Lonchura striata: one gene and its partners. The protein of the gene in region 1 interacts with the protein of each later gene in a pairwise test. Links are inferred from orthologs where the notes say so. Each region holds a gene or a part of one and is shown in the gene's direction. Other genes may lie near its edges.

Region 1 (7,925 bases):
GTCAAAGCTGCCTGATCTAGGACCTGCAAAACCCAAGCCACACATCACTCACAGACATTTCTAACTACTCAACTCAGAAGTTGTCCCCAGTTCACCTTTACAGGCTTAACATGTATTTTAAAATTATCTTTACAAAGGCAGATCTTTATTGAGATTTAGCTTTATTTGTCTTCTTGCAGGATCTGCTCTCTATACTTATTTCCATATGAAGTGGGGTCCCATTCTCAAAATTTATAATAAATAAAATATACTGCATATTGACTTGTTTCTTAAGTATTATACAAATCTAATCTTAAAATTCACAAATAAGAAAAATTATAGCATACACCTAATGTTCAGAAAAAGTAAATGCAGACAAGTTAAATGACAGGCACCAGAAAATAACATTTCCTACTCAGCATCTGTATAGAAAATTTAACCATACAACTGAATTATTTAAAAAATTTAAGCTAGACTGAAGTGGAGGTAGAGATTTACTTCTAACAGTTAAATGATACAACTGTACAAAATATAATTAAAGTGATTGTATTCAAATATTATGCCAGAGTTCTGTTTTTGTGTTTTAATTTCCATTGAAAAATTCCAGTCTATTACTTTGCTCTGGAGAGTATGTCGAGCCTTGGATGACTCCAAGCCTCTTTCCTAAATAGTACTTTTAGTGGTAAGGATCCTGCAAAGCCTAAGGCTTTTCTATAAACCCCAAGTGAGTTTACTAAGTGGAAAATTCAGGAAAAAAATAAGTGACACAAAAAACCCCAGCAAGTTACAGTTTTCCAAAATGTATCCAGAAACTTTCCCATATTTACCAGAATATTATCCTGACACAGTCATCATAGTGAAATATTTCATCACATGATGTAAAATCATTACAGATGAGCAGTCATGATAATATTAACAAGAAAAAAAGTAAAGAAAAACAATCCTCTGCATTTCTTCAATACTGAATTACCAATGCTTCTTTTTTATCAACTGGCTAATATTTTTTTTAATAAGTGAGTCTGATTACATTGAAGCCTTCTATCAAGTATTAATGCTTAACAAAAGAAGATATTAATTTCTCTGAAAAAAGTAAATTTAGCAGGTGAGAAGTAAAAAAAATTAAAATTATTACAGTAGCTATTTGCATACCTCTTATTAGTACTTAACATGATATATGGTACACATAACTTGGAGAAAAATCAATTTTATATTAATCTCTAGTTGGAGGCATCTCAGATTTGTAGAAAAGCAGATAACATTCAGTAAGTTAGGAACAGTCTCTTCTCCAGCAGCAAATTAGCTTGTACTTACCATGTGATAGCATAAGCAACAAATTCTTGCACATTATCCTTGCAAGCCTCTACCAAACACTGATTCAAAAACTATCCCTAACACTGATGCAATAACTATCCCAACTATCCCTAACCAGCACAAATGACTGAAGTACTCCACAGAGCAGCTTGGCTGCCTGGCCAACCAGCAGAGGCCAGGTTATCTGTCCATGGTACAGCTGTTGGCCCAAGCTGACAGCCACTGAAGCCAGTGGGGCACTGCCCTGCCATGTGAGTCACCTGCAAGCTGGTTACTGGCTGGCTCACCAGGCTGCCAAAGCACAAACAGGTAGAGCTGCCTTCCCTCTGAACTGACCCACCTGTCAACTGTCAGTTCAGCCGTGATGTTAAAGCACCTTCCATCTCACTGGGCATTCTGCACTGTCTGTATTTTCTCCCCATCAGCAAATCTCAGTTCTACAAAACAGAATTCCCTTTTCTTACTAGATCTCATTCAATTGCATCAGGCCAATCTGGCTTGTCTAGAAGTCTGGCAGATGGCAAAATTTGGGAACTATGAGACCAAATCCCATTAGCGAGGTAAACAGAATCATAGAATCATGCACTCATACAATGATAAAATAGTTTGGGCTGGAAAGAACCTTCAAAGACCATTGAGCCCAAACCTCTGCAACAAGCAACAATCTCATGCTAAAAAAAATTTCTTCCACATGTCTAGTCTAAATCTGCCTTCTCTTAGTTTAAAACCATTATCCCTTATCCTATTGCTACAGTCCCTATTAAAAAGTCTGTCACCATCAAACACATTTGAACTCATGTTTGATGTTGAGGACAGATTGCCAAGACTTGACCAACCCTCAGAGTAATACCTTTTGGGGCTCAATTATGTAGGAATCCCCAACAGTACTAATGGAGACTTTGTCATGAACAAAAACAGAGCTCTGAAGGGAAGGTGAAGGACACAAAATCTCACACAGTTCTACTTCATCCTGCCAGTCACAGGGGAGGCAGCTACAGGAGAGAGCTCATCCTGAGAGTTGATACCTGTCTGTATGACTGATCGCATAGAGTAAACTTTAGCCCTCACAACCACAGGATCTTTTGGGAGCAGTGATGGCTGGGCAGAGAGGGGATCCAACTGATGAGGTTATTTAGTTTGTTGGTGTGGCTGAGGGACCCAAGATGATTTTTCCTGAAAGCTAATATGGAAAAATGAAAGCTTAGCCACTTCTCCTATTCAGCAGATGACTCTGACAGTGCCAGAACAAGGGAGATTATGAGGAACAGAGCTGCCCCATCCCTAGAAGCAGCAACCTTTACTTATACAGGATGAGATCTTATCTGCTTATGGCCTGATCTCCTACAGCTTTGTCTCCAGTGGTTGAGGTCACACAAACCCATGCCAACAGCTTGAATGCCAGCTGAAGGGCTTAGCTGCTGAGGAAGCACTTGAGAAGACATGTTTTAGTGTGAATTTTTGATTGGGTTTGACAGCTGACCCCAACTGCAGCCTTTCCTTCAGCTGAGGTACCCTGCTCCATTGCCAGATGCCAGATTTCATGATCATTATTAGGGCAAGAAAGAGAGACGCACAGGGATATGTGAAAACAGAAGCCTAACTTTCATAGGAAGCAAGGCAAAAACCTGCTTCTCTGAAAAAATTCATTCTGGCTAGGAATTGTTTATTAACAAAAATGTGTATTGAAACTACTTGCAAATAAAATAATAGAGAAATGGCTCTTTTCAGCATGGAGAGGTTTTCAAACTATGAGAAAATTTCACATGCCACTTTCTCGATGTTCTGTCCTGTCCATGCAAGACCTATTCAATATTGTCATGAATGGTCTGGGTAACAAAATGGCAGAGATAATATAAAAAGAAAAAAAATTCAAATATTTTTGCTAAACTATTGAAATTTAGCAAGGGAAAAAACAGTGCTAATAAAGACATACCAAATGTATGGATACACTTGAGTAGTAACTATCTAGAATAGGGATCTGGTATCAAAAATTAAATTCAGATGTTGTAGATTAAAAAAAAAACCCACGTTCAGAGAGGGGCAAGACTGGAGATACTCGTTTACTAGTTTTGAGGTGATGAGGCTGGTTAGAGACATGTGAGAACTGCTGTTTTGGGCTCTACACTTAATAAACAGTGTTGGGAAAATTAGAAGTCCAGAGGAGGAAAAAAAATAGTAGGCAAACATCTGACAAGCAGTCAGAATTTTTCATTTGGAAAAGGTAGATATGTTTATAATATATAAAGGAGCTCCTTCCACTTCCTGGTGTTGTTTGGCAGGGGGGCATTTGCACATCCACAGTAGACAGGAATTAAAAAAAACCAACAACTTAATTTTGTGTTTCAGGTCATGAAATATGACAGCAGGATTTGGCACAATCAGCTTTATTGAAGGTTTTTACAAGTAAGTCAGAGGCACACCTTTTAGAAGCCATGTAGGTCAATGTTGTCCAAGCTGTTAACCACAAATAAAAACCTCTATAAAGTTAAAAGACAGACACCTTTTACTCACATTCTACCAGACAGCCAGAAGGGGAGTAAAATGTCAGTTTGTATGAAGAATGTGCCAATGACTCTTGAACAGTACCACCAGCCCACACAGCTGAGCTGAAGGAAATCCCAAAACATTGTCAGTATGATCTGACTGGAGTGCCCTACCACATTTACCCTTGCCAGGCATCTGTTGTAGCCTCAGTGTGGATGTGATATGTCAGCCAAGCTGCCTTTGACTGTTTTATGTCCAAAGGCCAGGGTACACCGGACACTTCATGAAGCAGCTGAGACTACGGAAGACCTTGAAGCCTCTTCCAGCTCACCAATCCCGTGTGAACTCTAAGTCCTAAACACCAGTTGTGAATTTAGGTTACTCCCCTAGTTCGTTGCTTTCAGTTCAGTGAGGAAAGACAGAAACAGAAAGGGAAAAAACCCTTCCAAGCCAGAACTCACTCATGGGATGAAGATAAACTCGTACCAAACAGCTCGTTGCTGGCTATTCTCAGAGGGTTTATGCTTTGGGCCATCTCGATTTATAAAGGACATTGAGGTGCTGGAGCTAGTCCAAGGAAGGACGAGTCTGGACTACCAATCCCGTGAGGAGCGGCCAAGGGAGCTGGGGTTTAGCTTGGACAAAAAGAGGCTCAGGGGTGACATCACTCTTTACAACTCCCTGAAAGGAGGTTACAACCAGGTGAGGGTCGGCTGCTTCTCCCAGGCGACCAGCGACAGTATGAGAGAACATACTCTCAAACTGTGACAGGGGAGATTTAGGCTGGAGATGAGGAAGAACTCTTTCAGGGAAAGGGTGCTTAGACATTGACGTGGGCTGCCAAGGGACTTGGTGCAGTCACCGTCCCTGGAAAGACTAGATGTGGCACTCAGCACCCCGGTCTAGTTGACATGGTGGTGTTTGGTCACGGGTGGCCGCGATGACCCCAGAGATCTTTCCCGGCGGGATGGATTCGGGATTCAGGGACGGCAGCTCCGCGCGGCGCCGCACCGCAGCCGCCGCCGCCCTCAGTCCCGCGGGGCGGGGGCCGAGGCTCCGCCCCGCGCGCGGCGGGAGCGGCCTCGCGCCTCAGCATTTCCGGGTCGGAGGCGGGGCGGCGTCAGGGGGCGGGCGCTGACGTCGCCGGAGGGTCCGCGGGCCGCTCGGCGCCTGTTTATTGTTCTCGCCGCCGCCGCCGCGTTCTGGCTTTCCCGGCGCCTGCGGGGCCGCGGCGGGAGGGAGCGAGGGAGGGCGGACAGCAGGCCCGAGCGAGCAGAGCCCCTCCGCCAGCGGCGGCGCGGGGGCGGAGGTAGGAGGGAGCGAGCGGGCGAGGCGCCGCCCGGGGGCCGTTAGCCGTTTCCGCCTCTCCGCAGCGCGAGCCCGGGCGGCGAGCGCGAGCGTCACGCCGGAGCGAAAGCGGGACAGCCCGGGAGCGGCAGCCCGGGAGCGGCCATGGCCTACGCGTACCTCTTCAAGTACATCATCATCGGAGACACAGGTGGGTGAGCCCGCGCCGGAGCGGGGCGGGAGGCGGGGAGGAAGGCCCGGCTCCCCGCGCCCATTTCCGCAGTGTTGGCAGTGCCGCCGACGTGGTGGCTCCGCGCGAGGAAGAGGCGGCGTCTCCCCCCGCCTCTGCGCCGGGCCCCGCCCGCGGCCTCGGCCTTGTCTCCCACGGCCTTGGGCCGCTGGCAGCCGCCTCCGGGCCCGGCTGGCGGGCCGCGGGGCAGCGCCGGCTGTGTCACGGCCCCGGCTGCGGCAGCAGAGCGGGCCGGCGGAGAGGAGGAAGGCGCTGTCACAACGAAACTTAGATCTGGGTAGTGCCCGTGGTTTGCAGCCTTGTGGTAGCGAGGCCACACTCGTCCTCGCAGTTTTGTGATGAGTTTCTGTCTCATTGCTGCGAGTTACCTTCAGCTCAGGCTGCAAGGATGCTCTTTCCAGTCTGGGCTGGAGCTCTGTAACAAACTGTGTGAAGACACGCTGTCAAAGAAGAATTAAAAGCCCTGGCTCTTCCAGTCTAATTTAAAGGGACTTCTTTTTTTATGTGTATGTATGTACACACACCACTGCTTTTCCAGATGTTTCTTGTTACTTCTTAAAAACATACTGAATCATAGACTGTCAAGGGGTTAGACTGGGGCTTAGAGATGATCTAGTCACAAACCCCCCCTGCTGTGGGCAGGGACACCTCCCATTAGACCACCTTGCTTAAGGCTCCATCCGACCTAGCGTTGAACATTTCTCAAAAACTTACTCCATTCCATTTGTAACTGGCTGCTGCGTGATAAGTAATAATGCTTACAAATGCTGTTGGCATAGCCATATGCTGGTAGGAGTTGCTGCTTGAAGACCCTTTGCTAATACATTTTATGCTTCTTCCACCTAGCATGGATGGAAGTAGCATACTTCAATCAAACTGTTGTCAGGGCAAGGTAGCTGACTTAGTTAACCATTGTGCCTGTGTATTGTGTGTTTTCCTTGCTGTTTTCCTCATACCTGTCTAAATGCCTTCTTTAATAAGTTTGATGACACACCTGGTTTTTTAGGTGCTATTCTGAGGGATGCCTTCATAATTGTACTTCATACCTATGAACCAAATTATCTGTTGGTGGAATATAATTATACCTTGTAGTTGCATTACACATGAGGTTGTTAAATAGAGTGGGTGCAACTACTATGTGACTTTTATCTGCTTTTTAAATGTGTATTTAAACTCTGAAAGCCTTTTTAGGTTCTGCAGCAGCAGCTGTAGTACAAGTTAATTATTAGAAATACATCGCAGTTGTAATGACCATGTTGGAAACCTTAGGCTGTAGATGATAATTCTGATTTTTGTTGAGTGTTTACTTGAGTGACAGTTCATCAGACCAGGACAGGATATTACCCGTGCAAATTCAGGAGAAGTAAGAAGAGGTTTGTCAGGCTGGTGTGATGCAAGACAGTAGTGCACAGTTCAGAACGGCAGTGTCTCAGAGCATGTGGCCAGTTCTGGGGCATCTCTAAAAACTGTAGTCATTAAAGTGGTAGACAGCAGCTTACAGTTGCTTTGGTACATTGATTGTATACTGATTAAATTTTTACAAAGAAACATCCTCAGTGTAATGGTCTGTGCTGCACTCCTGAATTTGAGGAGTTGCTTGAAATGTGAAATACAGAATGGATGTGTCATTTCTGCAGTTGTTGCAGCTGCTTAAGAACCAAATATCAGAATAGTAAGAGAAAGGAAACACAGAGAGGAAAACAGCTCACAAATTTGCTGTTGGCTTTTTGGTTAGTAATTTTTTTAAATTCTTGTGTTCTTGAGTTGCTACAGGAAACTAATTAAAACTACTGCAATCATTATTCTTGAAGTGAATTGAATATGTCAATAGTGGTAAGTTGGTTTTGCTTTTAGATCTCCTGTGAGCCTTTTAAGTGTTCTAATAGAGGTAGTACTCAAGAGCCAAGTTATGTTGTGCACAGTTGCCAAGATGGTGGTGGTAGTCTAGGTATTAATGCTCTTCCTCAGATGAAGGCAATTGAACTCAAAGTTCTGACAGTGGAAATTAAAAGTGGATCATGACTGTCCTCTTCAGTTCCCATGGTGGTGTCCACAGTTTTCTAGCCAGTGAAGATATGCCACTGGCCTTGCAGACCATGTAGATTTCATAGCAGTCGAGAAATTTGTTTCTGGTATTTGATTTAGAGTCTTTGGAAATGCCTCAGCTGCCTGGTGACTCAGCAGTTAGTTGTAAACAAACTGTAGGAGAAAACTAAGAGACTCAGCTGAGGACTGATGTTAACATTTAGCTCCTCTTTCAGCACTAAAAAACAAAGTTGTGTGATCCATAAGCAAACCAATGAAACCTCCCTGGAGTTACACAAGACACCTGTATGTGCCTTCTCTGAGTTGATTCCATATGCTTTCATCTGCTTAAACACAGGAATTCAGGATCATCTCAGTCTCTTAAAATGACAGCCAGAGGCTGACTGTGCAAGACTGCCTTGTGCTCAGCAGTTCTTGTCCCTTTGTATTCCCTGTTTCATTGGTCATTGGCATTCACTGACTTTTCTTTTTTGATACTTTAGGCATGGTAGCTTTATGAACATGGGATTGCTTCTAATCTGGTTCTTAACTGTATTTTTTAATATATAAAAATGGTTTTCTGTATAAT
Region 2 (7,899 bases), on another chromosome or scaffold:
GTTTTTTGACGTTGACTGGCAAGCACTCAAACACAACATCTGCCAACTGATTGGAGGACAGGTCCAGCTCTGTCAGAGACTCAGCCCACTGGCACTGCACGTCAGCTCCATCGTGGCGCAGCAGGTTGTTGCTCATGTCCAGGTATTTCAGTGATTTCATACGGCTGGTCATGGAGCTTACTTTGCGAAGGCTCTCGAATTTATTCTTCTGCAAGATTAATATCTCCAGCTGATGTAGGTTGTCACATTTTTGAAAAAGAAAATCTGTTAAATCATTCTTTAAAAAATTTAGGTATCTAAAGGGACTCTTAGATGAAGGACAAAGCATATGAATCATCTCAGAATCAGCTATTGTCATGTCTTCAATATTCATGTCTGCAAATATTTTGTATAGGTCATCCTGTGTGAAGTACATGTCCGTGATTATAATTTTCTTCATTGTCAGTGCTTTCATAGAAGTACCTGAATAGTCAAAGTCATAACTTTCAATGTCTGACAGTTGTGTTACATTGTTAGTATTGAAGTATTCAATGGACGAGTGCCATACAGTCTGAAAAATTTCCATAAGAGCATTCCAATCCACTGACACATTTGTCAGTGTCAGATTTTGTAACCTGGATCCTTGTGTGAAATTAGATAATAAAGCTATCAATTTTTTTACATTGTCATTTGTGATTTCTGACAATGACAGACTTTCTGTAGTATTTTGTATCACAACCCAATCAAAATCAGCTTTGGACTGATTACTGTTTGTATACAGGAGTGGCAGGCTCTTGATTTTTTGTTTAGAATCATCTTCTGGAAAATTGTTAGAAACAGATGTAAAGAGTTCATCTTCCACAGACAGGCTGATGTGGCTCCAAAAACTTAATGCAAACAGACACTTGTAAAGAAAACCGTTTCTAAAAAAGCTTGTATTCTGTGTCATACTGTTTTCTGTTTCCTTGAAGACGCTCAATACTTTTCTTAACTGTCCATCTTTGTTCTAATCCTGCAGAAAACAAAGAAACACAAGCAAAAACCAGATTGTATTAAGTAGCTGTGCAGGAACCATCAGAAAGAGAGATTCTGAGAGATTCTTTTAAGGTTCCAATTTCTCACTCTGTTTGATTCAAAAAGCAATGATTTTCTACAATCATTCAGAAGAGTCATTCATTATTAACAGATTACTGAATTTTTTATTTGGCAACTATGGTGTATTTATCAAATAATGAGTCAGTTTTTAACAAAATATGTCTGATTTCATATGTGTCTAAAATTTGCTGCTTAGTTACAGCATTACTGCTGTGATACAGTGTATTATGAAGGCTTCCTAAATTGTGTAATACACTTTGATTAGAAAGTACAATAACTGGTGTCAACACGTCATCGTCTACTCAGATTCTCCCTTAAATGATGTGAACTGGGCTCAGAGACATTATTTAAAAATGTACTTTTGACAGCAACCCTTAGACTGAAACATAGAATGAAGGTTCAAGAGACATTCCTCAAAAGTTGAATGTTTTTAGATAGCTGAGACTGGATCATCAGTGCTTCTTGTAACTGGGGAAATGGGGGTGAGGGTAGAATGATCTATATTTATGCCTTGGGGAAGTCCACAGAAGGGTTCACTTTTTGTCTGAGCTTAAGCATTTCCTGAATTTAGACTCTGAAATTGGGGTGCTCACATCTCACTTGACATGTGTACAAAGAGAACACCAGACACATGCTGGCAATATTTGCAGGCTACACAAAAATATATCAGTTGCAGAACCTCTCTACACAAAATCCAGCCCTGATTTAAGGACACTGACCTCAAACATCTCTGTTGTGTGAGAGGTTTATTCAAACAGACTTTAAAGGGGAAAATGATAACTGTGTCTTTGCTTTGGTTTTCCCTATTAGAGGTAACTTTTTCTTTCTGAATGTAGCAGTTTAGGATAGCCAGCCTCCCTTTGTTTAAGTCAGCCATTGAGAATACTGTCTTAAATCTCCTTTTAGGTATTGCATAAATCCATTAGACTTCCCATCTAAAAGAGGAACTGGCAAGAACTTGGTTTTAACACTTTTAAATGTGTAAATATTATTTAAAGTTGTTTTCCAGATTTCTAATGTCTTTTTATTTCCTCTTCTTTCTCTTTCCCTCCCATTAATTTTAAATCATATTGTTGCCCAAAATTTCCCATAGTATTTATTAATGACTGCACAGGCCTTCAACTTTCACTTGATATTGAAGAGGTTAAATTCTGAGTTTATATATTTCTAATGACTCTAGAATGAGACAGTAGCTATCACCTGACAGACTGATTTAGAACTTCAAAGACTACATTCACTGCACCATTAACCATTCCACAAGCTTTCTCAGAACTACTGGGGCAAAATACATGTTCTACTTGATCTAACAAAAAGAAAAAAAAAAAAGTACACTGAGTTCTTTTTTAAAGAATGCATGAAACTAAGCTTGGAAATCATCTAGAAAAAGCAGGGTAATATGGCAAAACTTTTCCAGCCTTTTTCCAAATTCTCATTTGGAAAAATTATATGCATCACAGCCCTCAAAATGCACTTGGGTATATTCAATCCTGTTCTTCTGATTGTTTGGGCAACTCTACTAATGTGTTTATAAATTTATGTGCTTAAAATATGTAGCTTCAAGAGAAAGCTGAAAAAAAAAATTTACCTTTAAATCATTATTCCTTCTTTGGATAAAATTTCAGCAATATCCATGGACTAGATGAAAAAAGGATAGGAGTCTTCTACATGTGTTTTATTTTCTTTCTATTTCATATATCCTAGCATTCAGTCAAATTATTTATGAGTACCTTAAAAATTTCTTTAGAATATCATAGGAAGCAACACAAGTAAAAAGCTTTTATAACATATAACCTGTGATTTGGAGACTAATACTGTAGAAATTATCCTTCACAGTCATATCACATTTAATTCAGAAGCATCCTCATGTCTTCAAACGTGATAAAAAAAGCTTAATCAAGAAAACAATCCAGGAGGGTAGGCAAGCAAAGAGCATAGTAGGAAAGTGCCCTGTTGTTTATAGAGAAAGGGGAGAGAAAAAAAATGAGGTTTTAAGAGTTTTGCCAATATGAAACTGGTATAAACTGACTAAACTTCCATATAAGAAATATACAGAATACTTTTAGCTAAGACAGTTCAGTATTAAGACATGCACTTCACAAGATACCAACATAGCAAAAACCTCTGATGTTACAAACATGCCTTCAACAAGGATGAAACACATGATCAGGTTAGACCCAGTTCCTGAACTGGAGAAAAACTACTGTCATCACTCTGCCTCACTTAATTATGGGTGTAGTGCTAATAAAAAGAGACTGCTACTTGGACAGTTTTTTGGAGAAATATTCTGAACACAAGCAACTTCACCATCATTGCTTACCCATACACTTAAAAGAACATCGTACACATGCTGTGGAATACAAGGCACATTTTAAAATAAGATACAGAAGATAAAACAATTCCAGCTAACTAGCAACAGCAAAAGTCAACAAAATTAAAACTTTCTCACCAGAAATCCCTGCTGTCCGAAAAAGCAGAAAGTGTTCTCAGGAAAACAAAAAAAAAGAAAAACTTCCTGTAACTTTATCCTATTGAGTAACAATACTTAGGAACACCCAAATTTTTACATACCGGTTTGTGCCATCTACTGACAGCTTGTGAAATGGCATTTGCTTTTCTCCAGATATATTTTTCACATACATTACTGTAATATCCCCCTATTCTATTATTATTGAACTTTGTGGCTTTATGCTTTGCAATATATTAAACAAGAGAAAAATGAATATTTTTACCAACTTTATACCTTCATTAAATTAAGATGAAAATAAGTACTTCTTTTGAATAAGAAATTCAAACACCTTCCTATCTGAATTTAATCATGATCTAAGTCTCTATGCATTATGTTAATTTTTCATCCATTTAGCTATACCAATTTAGTTGTCAGACTCTTATCAAGGCTGGTTTATAAAAGTACCATTTGTCTTAGTTTAATTTCCATTTAATGGGAATGGAATAATAATCCCTCTCCTGCTCCAGCAGTGTTGTTATTGGGTTAAACAGTGAACATGGATACATTGAGAGGGGTTTGTTTTGGTTTTTTTGTTTTGGTTTTTTTGTTTGTTTGGGTTTTTTGTTTTGGTTTTGTTTTGTTTTTTTGGTTGTTTTTTTTTTTTTTAATTAAAACAGAGCTGTGACTTTGGTACTGAATGGCCAAACACAGGGCTACTGTCCTGGCAAAGACATAAACCAGTCTCTCTTCATTTCTTGATAATATTGGTTAGAAATTCCACCATAGCTGAGACCTAAATACAGAACTGCCACACTGTAACTTACCTTTCTGGGTTAGCATATTAATGATTTAATGATTCATATTCATGATCTAATATTTCATTATATTAATAATATACATTCATTATTTAATATTTCAATTATTCAGGCAGCAGAGGAAATAATCTAAAAAATTACTTTTTTGCTTTGAGGCTTATTCTGTATATTAAATATAATTTCTCGGCCTCAAGTGAAAAGAAGTCATCCAAAAATGAAATTGAAAGATAGGACAGGTAGTAAGTAACTGAGATACTTCAGAGATTTATGCCTGGTAAAGTCACATAGCATGATCGGTATTTGTAAAACACCCTTCTGACAGCTGTTGTGACCGCTTGGAGTAGCTCTTCTCAGTGGCTCACAGTGTGCCGGTTTGCCTTCTATGTCAAAACTTCTCTCGTTGGCAGACTAGTGATAGAAATGCTGCTATATTGTCTTTCACCATGCTTTGCCTTAAGACAGCAAAAAAGAGGAACGGGTATGAGGAACTACACGGAAACAAGAACCACGGCTACTGGGAACAGCCTGAAAGCCCTTTGCTCAACCAAGTGTTTCACCGACTGACTGGAAATGCGTGCGGGGAGCGCCGGCTCCTGCCAGGGCATCTCCGGTACACACAGCGGTATCGAAAAGCTGCATCTCCGTTCAATTCCGCAACCCCACGGTCAGTAAGTGCTCACTTTGAGGAAGGATCAGACTTTCTTAAAAAAAAAAAAAAAAAATAATGCCAGCTCAGCAACTAGATTAATTTGGACTTTTTCTCTCATTGGATGGCTGAGCACTGAACCGGCTTCCCAGCGAAGCAGCCACAGCACTAAGCTTGTCCAAGAAACGTTTGGAGACGACGCTCTCAGGCACGTGGCGTGATTCCTGGGATGGCCTGCACAGGGCCAGGAGTTGGACCCGTTGATCCCGACAGGTCCCTTCCAGCTCAGCATATTCTATGACTCTATGAACTTGCCCCTTTCCGCCCCAGCACGGCCGCAGGGGCGCCGCGGCCCTGAGGGAAGCCGGCCCGGCGCTCCCGGCGGGGTCCCCGCGCCGAGAGCCCTGAGGGGCGGGCATGGCGGCCGGGCCGGACAAGCCTGAGCCCGGCACGGCTCGGCAGCGGCGCGGCGCTGCCCCTGCAGCAGGCGGGCGCCTCACGCAGCCGGAAGGAGAGCGAGGGACAAAAGCCAGCCCTCCCTCCTCCCTGGGCCGGCCCGGGCTGCCGGGCCCGCTCTGCCTCCTCCCCCCGCTGCTGCCGACGTGGCGGGGCGGGGAAGGGAAGGAGCCGGGGCCGCGCCGGTCGGGGCACTGCTGAGTGGTAAGGAGCACGGCGATTTCTGCATTTTCTGCCGCTTTTGACATTGGCTACGCCACACAGCTCTGTCCCAGAGGGGAACTTCGAAAAGGGGAAAAAAGAAAAGGAGAAGCGGGAAGTTGCGGCCGCTGCGGGCTCGGGGGAGCGGCGCCCCGGCTGCTCGTGCCGCGCGTGGGGCAGAGGGCAGCGGGGCAGGGCGAGCTGCCGGCGCCGGGCGCCGCGGGAGCCTCGCCTGCGCCCGCCGTGCCCGCGGAGGAGAAGCGGCAGCGGGCGTCGAGCGAGAGGGGAACAAGGTGCTGTCGCCAAAAAAGTGATTCCTCCTTTCCGCGCGGGGACGGCGATTCGTGCCCGAAGGCGCCCGGCGGCAGCGGGGCTTTGCTTTCTAGGGGAGATGAAACTCCTCAGCGCGGCAGGTGCCGCCACCGCCGGGCCCCTCAGCGCGGCTGCTCCGTGCGGGCCGGGCTGGCCTTAGCATCTCCCTCACGAGCTCCCCGTAGAGTAATTCCCTTTGGGCGGAGCCGTCCGAGTTGATTTGGATCAGGACAGTCTCAGGGATGAAAGGTTGAATGGCGCTGACCCCGGGTGCAGCTCGTGTGGTCTGACAGAGGCGGTGATTTGCTGTTACCTGCCGTGCTCTGGAAGGAAGGTTCAGCAGGCAGCTGCAGGGAGCGTGGCCTGAGTGGTACCCAAAGATGACTGCAAAAACTTTTTTGCAGTACTTCAAAAATCCATGTGCGCATTTGTGTGATCCTTTAAAAAGTGCTGGGCTTACTCAGAGCTAATGCCCATTCAAAATTATGAAGTATGTGTCTAAAGGTTTTACAGGTTTTAATAGAGAATTCCCATACCTCATGATGGAATTTGATTTACAGATAGAAGAATTTTCCTTAGGTGATGCTGCCATTCACACAGTGCGTACTGTTAAAACAATAGCAATACTTCCCTACAAGAAAGCATTTTATAATATTTGCTGCATTTTAAATGAAAAACTGTCAAATGCAAAGATTCTGACTTCAGAATTCAAGTTTTTTGAAGATAATTAAGGTACAGTGTAAGCTGAAGTAATAGAAGTGCTTACTTTTTTACTTATGTTTCTTGTTCACTGATCCGAAGTGCTACTCTTGGAACTCTTTAAACAAGTGATCTACATTCACATTAGATGAACAGGCTCCTAAAGCTATAGATATATACAGTTCTATAGACTTTAATAAAATATACTAATTAAATACATGCTTCTCAGGCAGATTTCTCCTAAATCCCAGTTATGTTTTCTTTTTGCCTTTTTTTCCCCCTGTTCTTTAGTCTCTCATAGAATCCCCATTCTTCCTGACAGATCAAACCTTTGAGCCATGTTTAATTAATATGAGAGTCAATGAGAGAGCAGCATCAACAGAGAGAACTGTACAAGTCTTTATGCCATGCAACTCAACATTTTGCAAGCTCTCTGTCAAGGATTGTTTCCTGAGTGCCAAGTATACTGTTGTTACCAAAAAATAAGTGTTACTAATCACAGACCAGCAGTTCTTTTGGACTCTGGCAGTGCAACTCCTTAATCAGCTGCAGAGCTTGCTGTATGGCTTTATCTTTGCCCATCAGCATCCTTAGCCTGATGACTGTACAATTGTGGAAAATACCTCCAAAATTACATTGGAAGACAAGGAAGAAATAAGAGAAAACTGGTTCATAACTTACAAACTTATCTTGGTTTCAAAATTGAAGTTAAATCACACAGTTGGAGTTTTAGGAGATGGTGAGAAGTGATGCATTCCCCAAAGAGCAAGACTTTGGGACAAGTGATACAGAAACAGTGTGAGCAATGACTATGCTATGGCTGTGTCTATGAAATGGCTCTAGGGGCCCATGGCCTATCATGTTCACAGATTGTGCCCCTTCTCAAGCACATGAATGTCACCACAGTTTTAGGTACAGAGAGTTATCCTCCCCTCTATTAGCAGGATGTAGGAACCTGTGTTTGTCTCAGTGATGAAAGGGAAAGCAAGAGCTGCTTGGTTATTGCAGCTTGGATTATTTTGTTCTGCAATGGTCTTTCATACACACCTGATAGCGAATATTGACATTAACCATGTGGAAACTCCTACATTTGACTTCTCCAGAAAAATTAATATCCTTTCACTCTCACTGAACCATATTTTGGAAAACAGTAATGCTGCTCTTTGTATTTGAGTGGGATCCAGCAGAGTGAATGGAGTATTTACAGTATTATTTTGATACCAGTGCCAGCATGAGGCATGTGCCACAGG
Region 3 (7,782 bases), on another chromosome or scaffold:
CCTAAAATTTGGGATGGCAACCCTAAAATGGGGGAGAGGGGAACTTCGGAATTTGGGGAGGTGGGAACTCAGAAATTTGGGGAGTGGTGACCCCCAAAATTTTGAGGGTGGGAGAAGCCTCAGGGAGGGGGGGAAACCCCAAAATTGAGGAGTGGGAGCCCCAAAATTTGGGGAGGGGGGAACCCGTAAATTCGTGGGAGGGGGTAACCCCAAAATTTGGGGAGGGGTAGCACCAACATTTGGAGGAGAACTCTAAAATTTGGGGAGGGGGAGCCCCAGAATGGGACCCTGATGGATTTTGGGGTCCCTGATGGGATTTTGGGGGTTCCCAGGTATATTTTGGGGTCCCTGAAGGATTTTGGGGTCCCTGATGGGATTTTGGGGTCCCTGATGGATTTTTGGGGTCCCTGTTGGGATTTTGGGGGTCCCTGATGGGATTTTGGGGTCCCTGATGGATTTTGGGGTCCCTGATGGGATTTTTGGGGTCCCTGATGAATTTTGAGGGTCCCTGATGGATTTTGGGGGTCCCTGATGGGTTTTGGGGTCCCTGATGGATTTTGGGGGTTCCCAGGTATATTTTGGGGTCCCTGATGGATTTTGGGGGTCCCTGATGGGTTTTGGGGTCCCTGATGGGTTTTTGGGGTCCCTGATGGGATTTTGGGGTCCCTGATGGGATTTTGGGGGTTCCCAGGTATATTTTGGGGTCCCTGTTGGGTTTTTTGGGGGTTCCCAGGTATATTTTGGGGTCCCTGATGGATTTTGGGGGGTCCCTGATGGATTTTGGGGTCCCTGATGGGATTTTGGGGTCCCTGATGGGATTTTGGGGTCCCTGATGGGATTTTGGGGTCCCTGGTGGGATTTTGGGGGTCCCTGATGGATTTGGGGTCCCTGTTGGGATTTTTGGGGTCCCTGATGGGATTTTGGGGGTCCCTGATGGATTTTGGGGTCCCTGTTGAGATTTTGGGGTCCCTGATGGATTTTGGGGGTTCCCAGGTATATTTTGGGGTCCCTGATGGGATTTTGGGGTCCCTGATGGATTTTGGGGGTCCCTGGTGGGATTTTGGGGGTCCCTGATGGGATTTTTGGGGTCCCTGGTGGATTTTTGGGGGTCCCTGGTGGGATTTTGGGGGTCCCTGATGGATTTTGGGGTCCCTGACGGATTTTGGGGGTTCCCAGGTATATTTTGGGGTCCCTGATGGATTTTGGGGGTTCCCAGGTATATTTTGGGGTCCCTGATGGATTTTGGGGTCCCTGATGGATTTTGGGGGTCCCTGATGGGATTTTTGGGGTCCCTGATGGATTTTGGGGTCCCTGATGGATTTTGGGGGTCCCTGATGGGTTTTGGGGTCCCCCAGGGCTGGAGGAGCTGGGATTGGACGGCGGCTCGTCCCCGGGGCGGGGCCCGGGCGGGGACAGCAGCTCCGTGTCCTCATTGGGCCGCGACGGCTCCGCCCCCGGCAGCACCAAGGTGGGCGGGGCCGAACGGGTTAAAGGGGCGGGGCCTGGCTGGGCGTGGCTCCGGTGGGCGTGCCCTTGGTGGGGCTCCGGTGGGCGGGGCTCCGGTGGGGCTTTGGTGGGCGTGGCTCCTGTGGGCGTGGCCTTTGTGGGCGTGGCCTTGTTGGGGCTCCGGTGGGCGTGGCCTTGGCGGGGCTCCGGTGGGCGTGGCCTTGGTGGGCGTGGCTCCGGTGGGCGTGGCTCCGGTGGGCGTGGCTCCGGTGGGCGTGGCCTGACGGCCCGGCCCCGCCCCGCGCAGTCGGGCTCGGGCAGCCCCGGGGGCGGCAGCGCCGGGGGGGTCCCGGCCGGGGGGGGCCTGTCCCCGGCAGAGGTGGCCGAGCTGTTCCAGAGGCTGGCCCAGAGCCAGCAGGAGCGCTGGCTGCTGGAGGAGAAGGTACTGGGAGCACTGGGAGCGACTGGGAACGGGTCGGGAGCGAGCTGGGGGGGACTGGGAGGGACTGGGGGGACTGGGAGGGACTGGGGAGGAACTGGGAATGGGTTGGGAGCGAACTGGGAGCGAGCTGGGAGGGACTGGGGGGACTGGGAGGGACTGGGAGGGAACTGGGGGAATCTGGGAAGAACTGGGAGGGAACTGGGAGAGACTGGGAGGAACTGGGAAGGACTGGGGGAAACTGGGAGGGACTGGGAAGGACAGGGAGGGAACTGGGAGGGACTGGAAAGGATTGGGAGGAATTGGGAAGGACTCAGAGGGAACTGGAATGGACTGGGGGGACTGGGATGGGACTTGGGGGAACTGGGAGTGACTGGGAAGGACTGGGAGGAACCTGGGGGGACTGGGGGGGACTGGCAGGGACTGGGAGGGAACTGCAGGGGCACTGGGAGGGAACTGGGAAGGACTGGGAAGGGACTGGGAGGGACTGGGAGGGACTGGGAAGGACTGGGAGGAACTGGGAGGGACTGGGAGGGACTGGAAGCGACTGGGAGGAACTGGGAGGGACTGGGAGGAACTGGGAGGGACTGGGAGGAACTGGGAGGGACCTGGGGCACCGCTCACCTGGAGCTGCCGGGGCAGGTGAGGCACCTGGAGGTGTCGAGCGCGTCCATGGCCGAGGATCTGTGCAGGAAAAGCGCCATCATCCAGAGCTTCGTCAGGGACAGCCGCACAGGTGAGGGCACCCGGGCTCACCTGGTGGCACCTGGGCCTCAGGTGGACCTCACCTGTCCCAGCTGTCACTGTAGCCTCACCTGTCCCAGCTGTTCCACTGCTGTCACCTGTGCTGCACGGCCCTCCCTCACCTGTACCCTCACCTGTGCTGCATGGCCCTCCCTCACCTGTACCCTCACCTGTGCTGCACGGCCCTCCCTCACCTGTACCCTCACTTGGCACTGCAGCCAGCCGTCAGCTCACCTGTCCCTTCCTCAGCTGTCCCCATCCGTCTGATGGTTCTTACCTGTGCCAGTGTCACCTGTGCCCTGACCTGGCCCAGTCTCACCTGTCCCAGTCTCACCTGTCCCCACCTGTCCCAGTCTCACCTGTCCCTCTCACCTGTCCCAGTCTCACCTGTCCCCCTCACCTGTCCCCCTCACCTGTCCCAGTCTCACCTATCCCAGTCTCACCTGTCCCCCTCACCTATCCCAGTCTCACCTGTCCCCTCTCACCTGTCCATCTCACCTGTCTTTCTCACCTGTCCCAGTCTCACCTGTCCCTCTCACCTGTCCCAGTCTCCCTTGTCCCTCTCACCTGTCCCTCTCACCTGTCCCATCTCACCTGTCCCCCTCACCTGTCCCATCTCACCTGTCCCATCTCACCTGTCCCCCTCACCTGTCCCAGTCTCACCTGTCCCAGTGTCACCTGTCCCTCTCACCTGTCCCCACCTGCCCGCAGAGGCGGCGGGGCCGGCGCGGCGCGGGGCGGGGGCGGGGCCGGGCCCCGGTGAGGAGGGGCTGCGGGAGATGAACAAGAAGCTGCAGAACCTCCTGGAGGAGCAGCTGACCAAGAACCTGCACCTGGCACAGGTGAGGGGGCGGGGCCCGAAGGGGCGGGGCTTGTGAGAAAGGGGCGTGGCTTGAGAGAAAAGGGGCGTGGCTTGTGAGAAAGGGGCGTGGCTTGTGAGAAAGGGGCGGGGTTGTGAGAAAAGGGGTGCGGTTTGTGAGAAAAGGGGCGGGGCTTGCGAGAAAGGGGCGTGGCTTGTGAGAAAGGGGCGGGGGTTGTGAGGAAAGGGGTGTGGCTTGTGAGAAAGGGGCGTGGCTCCCAAAAGCCCATCGTTTGTGGAGATGGGCGTGGTCTGTGGAAAGGGGTGTGGCTAAACGGGGTGTGGCTCATCGGGGGCGTGGTTTAAACGTGGGGGTGTGGCATAAGCGATGACATCACCGAGTTTACCGACGTGAAAGGGCGGGGCTTAAAGTGGAGGCGGGGCTTTCGGCGGTGGGCGTGGCCAGGACAGGGCGTGGCCGCTCTGGGGGCGTGGCCTCGCGCAGTGGGCGTGGCCTGTTCCCATCCTCATTCCCCTTTTCCAGGACCTGGAGTCGCTGTCCCAGGAGCTGGCGCAGCTCAGGAAGGAACAGGCGACCCCCTCGGGACCCCCCTGAGGGGCGGGGCCTCGCCTGGTGGGCGGGGCCTCGCCCCCGCAGGCTCCGCCCCCCGGCCGGGGCGCTGCTGCGGGGGAGGCGTTGCCCCTTTAAGGCCGTGCTGGGCCCCGCCGGCATTGCCCCTTTAAGGCGGGACGGTTCTTTACATGGCGTTGCCCCTTTAAGGGTGGGGTGGGGGTGTTTCCCGGGTGGGCGTTGCCCCTTTAAGAGCTGGGTCGGTCCCCGCCGCGGCGTTGCCGCTTTAAGGAGGAGGTGGTCCCCACTGTGGCATTGCCCGTTTAAGGGGGGTCCCGCATGCGCCCCCCCCTCTCCCCCCCAATAAACCCGATGTGAATCGCTGCCTCTGACGTCATTTTGCTGCCTTGGGAAAGGGCGGGAGGGCTCGGTGACGTCATTTAAGAGCCTCCCTGCCGAGCCCGCCCCGTGACGTCACTTCCGCGCGCTGCCCCGGATGTTGTTGCCGCGGCCGCGGCCGCAGGACGGGCACGGGCGCGCCGCGGCTCCGGATCCCCCCGCCCCAGCCCCGCGCACCGGCCCGCCGGGGGGCGCGGCGTGACGTCAGCACGGTGACCTAACACCAGCCCCCCCGCTTCCCCGGCTCGGGGGGCGGCGGCGGCGGCGAAACCCCCCAAGAACCCCCAACCCCCCCCCGGGACCCGCCCCGACATGGCGGCGGCGCCGGGGGGCGGGGCCTCGCCGGGGGGCGGGGCCGCGCTGGAGGAGGAGTGCGAGGTAGTGCGCGTGCGCGTCAAGGTAAGGGGCGGGGCCGCGCGTGGGCGGGGCCGCGGGTGGGCGGGGCCGCTCGTGGGCGTGGTTACGCCCCGGGTGTGGTTGGAGGGGGCGGAGCCAATCAGCTCGTGGGGGCGTCGTCGCCTGCGCGCGTGGCACGGGCGGGAAGTTTTCCCGCCTCTGGCGTCACGTGGGGGCCTAGCGGCCAATCAGCGCGCGGCGTCGCCGCGGGGACGGGGCTGCGCCGCCATGTTGGGTCGCCGTGAGGGGCCGGGGGGCTCCGGGACCCTCCGGGACCCTCCGGGACCCTCCTCCCGCAGAAGAACGAGGGGCAGCAGCCGCCCGAGTTCCGCTCGTTCGCCGTGGACCCGCAGATCACGTCGCTGGATGTGCTGCAGCACATCCTGGCGCGGGCGTTCGACCTGCAGGGGTGAGCGGGGCTCCCCTTGTACCCTTTTTGTAGCTGGGCCCGCCCAGAGCAGCCGGCTGAGCCCCGCTGTGCCCCCTCAGGAAGAAAAGCTTCGTCCTGAGCTTCGCGGCGCACAACGGGCAGGGCCAGGACACCTTCGTGCCGCTGCTCAGCGACGGCGACCTGGCCAACGCCTTCAGCTGCGCCCGGCCCGCGCTGAGGCTGCGCCTGGACGTCAGGAACGGCCCCGAGAGTGAGCGGCGCAGCGGGACAGAGCCGGGACAGCCGGGATAGAGCCGGGACAGCTGGGACAGAGCTGGGACAGAGCTGGGACAGAGCTGGGATAGAGCTGGGACAGAGCTGGGACAGAGCCGGGACAGAGCCGGGACACACCTGGGACAGAGCTGGGACAGAGCTGGGACAGCCGGGACAGAGCTGGGACACACCTGGGATAGAGCTGGGATAGAGCTGGGACAGAGCTGGGATAGAGCTGGGACAGAGCTGGGACAGAGCTGGGACAGAGCCGGGACAGAGCCGGGACAGCTGGGATAGAGCTGGGACAGCTGGGACAGAGCTGGGATAGAGCTGGGACAGAGCTGGGACAGAGCTGGGATAGAGCCGGGACAGCTGGGATAGAGCCGGGATAGAGCTGGGATAGAGCTGGGACAGAGCTGGGACAGCTGGGATAGAGCTGGGATAGAGCTGGGATAGAGCTGGGACAGAGCTGGGACAGCAGGGACAGAGCTGGGACAGAGCTGGGACACACCTGGGACAGAGCTGGGATAGAGCCGGGACAGCAGGGACAGAGCTGGGACAGAGCTGGGACAGCAGGGACAGAGCTGGGACAGAGCTGGGACACACCTGGGACAGAGCTGGGACAGAGCTGGGACAGAGCTGGGACAGAGCTGGGACAGAGCTGGGATAGAGCTGGGACAGAGCTGGGATAGAGCCGGGACAGCAGGGACAGAGCTGGGACAGAGCTGGGACAGCAGGGACAGAGCTGGGACAGCAGGGACAGAGCCGGGACACACCTGGGACAGAGCTGGGACAGAGCTGGGACAGCCGGGACAGAGCTGGGACAGCTGGGATAGAGCTGGGACAGAGCTGGGACAGAGCTGGGACAGAGCTGGGATAGAGCTGGGACAGAGCTGGGATAGAGCCGGGATAGAGCTGGGACAGAGCTGGGACAGAGCCGGGACAGCCGGGATAGAGCCGGGATAGAGCCGGGACAGAGCTGGGACAGCTGGGATAGAGCCGGGATAGAGCCGGGATAGAGCCGGGACAGAGCTGGGATAGAGCTGGGATAGAGCTGGGACAGAGCTGGGACAGAGCCGGGATAGAGCCGGGATAGAGCCGGGACAGAGCTGGGATAGAGCTGGGATAGAGCTGGGACAGAGCTGGGACAGAGCCGGGACAGAGCCGGGACAGAGCCGGGACAGAGCCGGGATAGAGCTGGGATAGAGCTGGGACAGAGCAGGGACAGCCGGGACAGAGCTGGGACAGAGCCGGGACAGAGCTGGGACAGAGCTGGGACAGAGCTGGGACAGCAGGGACAGAGCTGGGACAGAGCTGGGTGGGGGGAGACACACCTGGGACACACCTGGGGGTGCACCTGGGATATACCTGGAGGGGGGAGATACACCTGGGGGAGGGGAGACACTCCTGGGATACACCTGGGATATACCTGGGATACACCTGGGTGGGGGAGAGACACCTGGGACACACCTGGGTGGGGGAGACATACCTGGGTGGGAGGACACACACCTTCAACACACCTGGGTGGGGGGAGACACACCTGGGACACATCTGAGACACCCCCAGACACACCTGAGACACACTTAGGTGGGAGAAATCACCTGGGACACGCCTGTGGTACACCTGGGACAGACCTGGTTGGTGGGGACACACCTGGAATACACCTGAGATACACCTGGGGTAGTCACAGACTTGGCTGGACACACCTGGGCGGGGCAGGACACACCTGGGGACGCACACCTGGAGGCCTGGGCTGGGTGTCAGGAGGTGCTGGCTACCTGGGGGAGCCCGGGGGGCTCAGGTGTGTGAGGCGGGGCTCAGGTGTGCAAGGTGGGGCTTGGGGGGGTCTCAGGTACCTGTGGCTCAGGTGTGCTGTCCCCAGGCCCGCTGCTGGAGGACTGGGACATCATCAGCCCGCGGGAGGTGGCGGCGGCCGAGCCGGTGCCCGAGCGCCGCTCGCTGCTGGCGGCGGCCCTGCCCTTCACCCAGGCGCTGCTGGCACAGGTGAGCGCACCTGGCACAGGTGAGGCACACCTAGCACAGGAGTACACCTGGTGCAGGTGAGGCACACCTAGCACAGGAGGACACCTGGCACAGGAGCACACCTGGCACAGGTGAGGCACACCTAGCACAGGAGTACACCTGGCACAGGTGAGGCACACCTAGCACAGGAGCACACCTGGCACAGGTGAGGCACTCCTGGCACAGGAGCACTCCTGGCACAGGTGAGGCACTCCTGGCACAGGAGCACACCTGGCACAGGTGAGGCACACCTAGCACAGGAGCACACCTGGTGCAGGTGAGGCACTCCTGGCACAGGAGCACACCTGGTGCAGGTGAGGCAC

Evidence for each region.
Region 2: the proteins of RAB2A (region 1) and FAM114A1 interact in binary tests that used the Homo sapiens proteins (3 or more experiments, as listed by UniProt). The two-hybrid records come from large-scale screens. The link is inferred for Lonchura striata from reciprocal best matches to the Homo sapiens genes RAB2A and FAM114A1.
Region 3: the proteins of RAB2A (region 1) and TBC1D25 interact in binary tests that used the Homo sapiens proteins (3 or more experiments, as listed by UniProt). The link is inferred for Lonchura striata from reciprocal best matches to the Homo sapiens genes RAB2A and TBC1D25.

What each region holds. Positions count from the first base shown.
Region 1 is NC_134603.1:37,405,602-37,413,526, reverse strand, and holds the start of RAB2A (ras-related protein Rab-2A), read left to right. Parts: upstream 1-4,904; 5' UTR 4,905-5,226; coding exon 5,227-5,272; intron 5,273-7,925.
Region 2 is NC_134606.1:22,665,938-22,673,836, forward strand, and holds the start of FAM114A1 (protein NOXP20), read left to right. Parts: upstream 1-4,892; 5' UTR 4,893-4,905; coding exon 4,906-4,999; intron 5,000-5,573; exon of another isoform or gene 5,574-5,641; intron 5,642-7,899. Other genes in the region: toll-like receptor 1, read right to left, coding at 1-928. UniProt on the Homo sapiens protein: May play a role in neuronal cell development.
Region 3 is NC_134638.1:1,573,825-1,581,606, reverse strand, and holds the start of TBC1D25 (TBC1 domain family member 25), read left to right. Parts: upstream 1-4,710; coding exon 4,711-4,797; intron 4,798-5,093; coding exon 5,094-5,203; intron 5,204-5,283; coding exon 5,284-5,435; intron 5,436-7,319; coding exon 7,320-7,441; intron 7,442-7,782. Other genes in the region: GRIP1-associated protein 1, read left to right, coding at 1,356-1,468, 1,754-1,888, 2,528-2,621, 3,341-3,471, 3,973-4,044. UniProt on the Homo sapiens protein: Acts as a GTPase-activating protein specific for RAB33B. Involved in the regulation of autophagosome maturation, the process in which autophagosomes fuse with endosomes and lysosomes.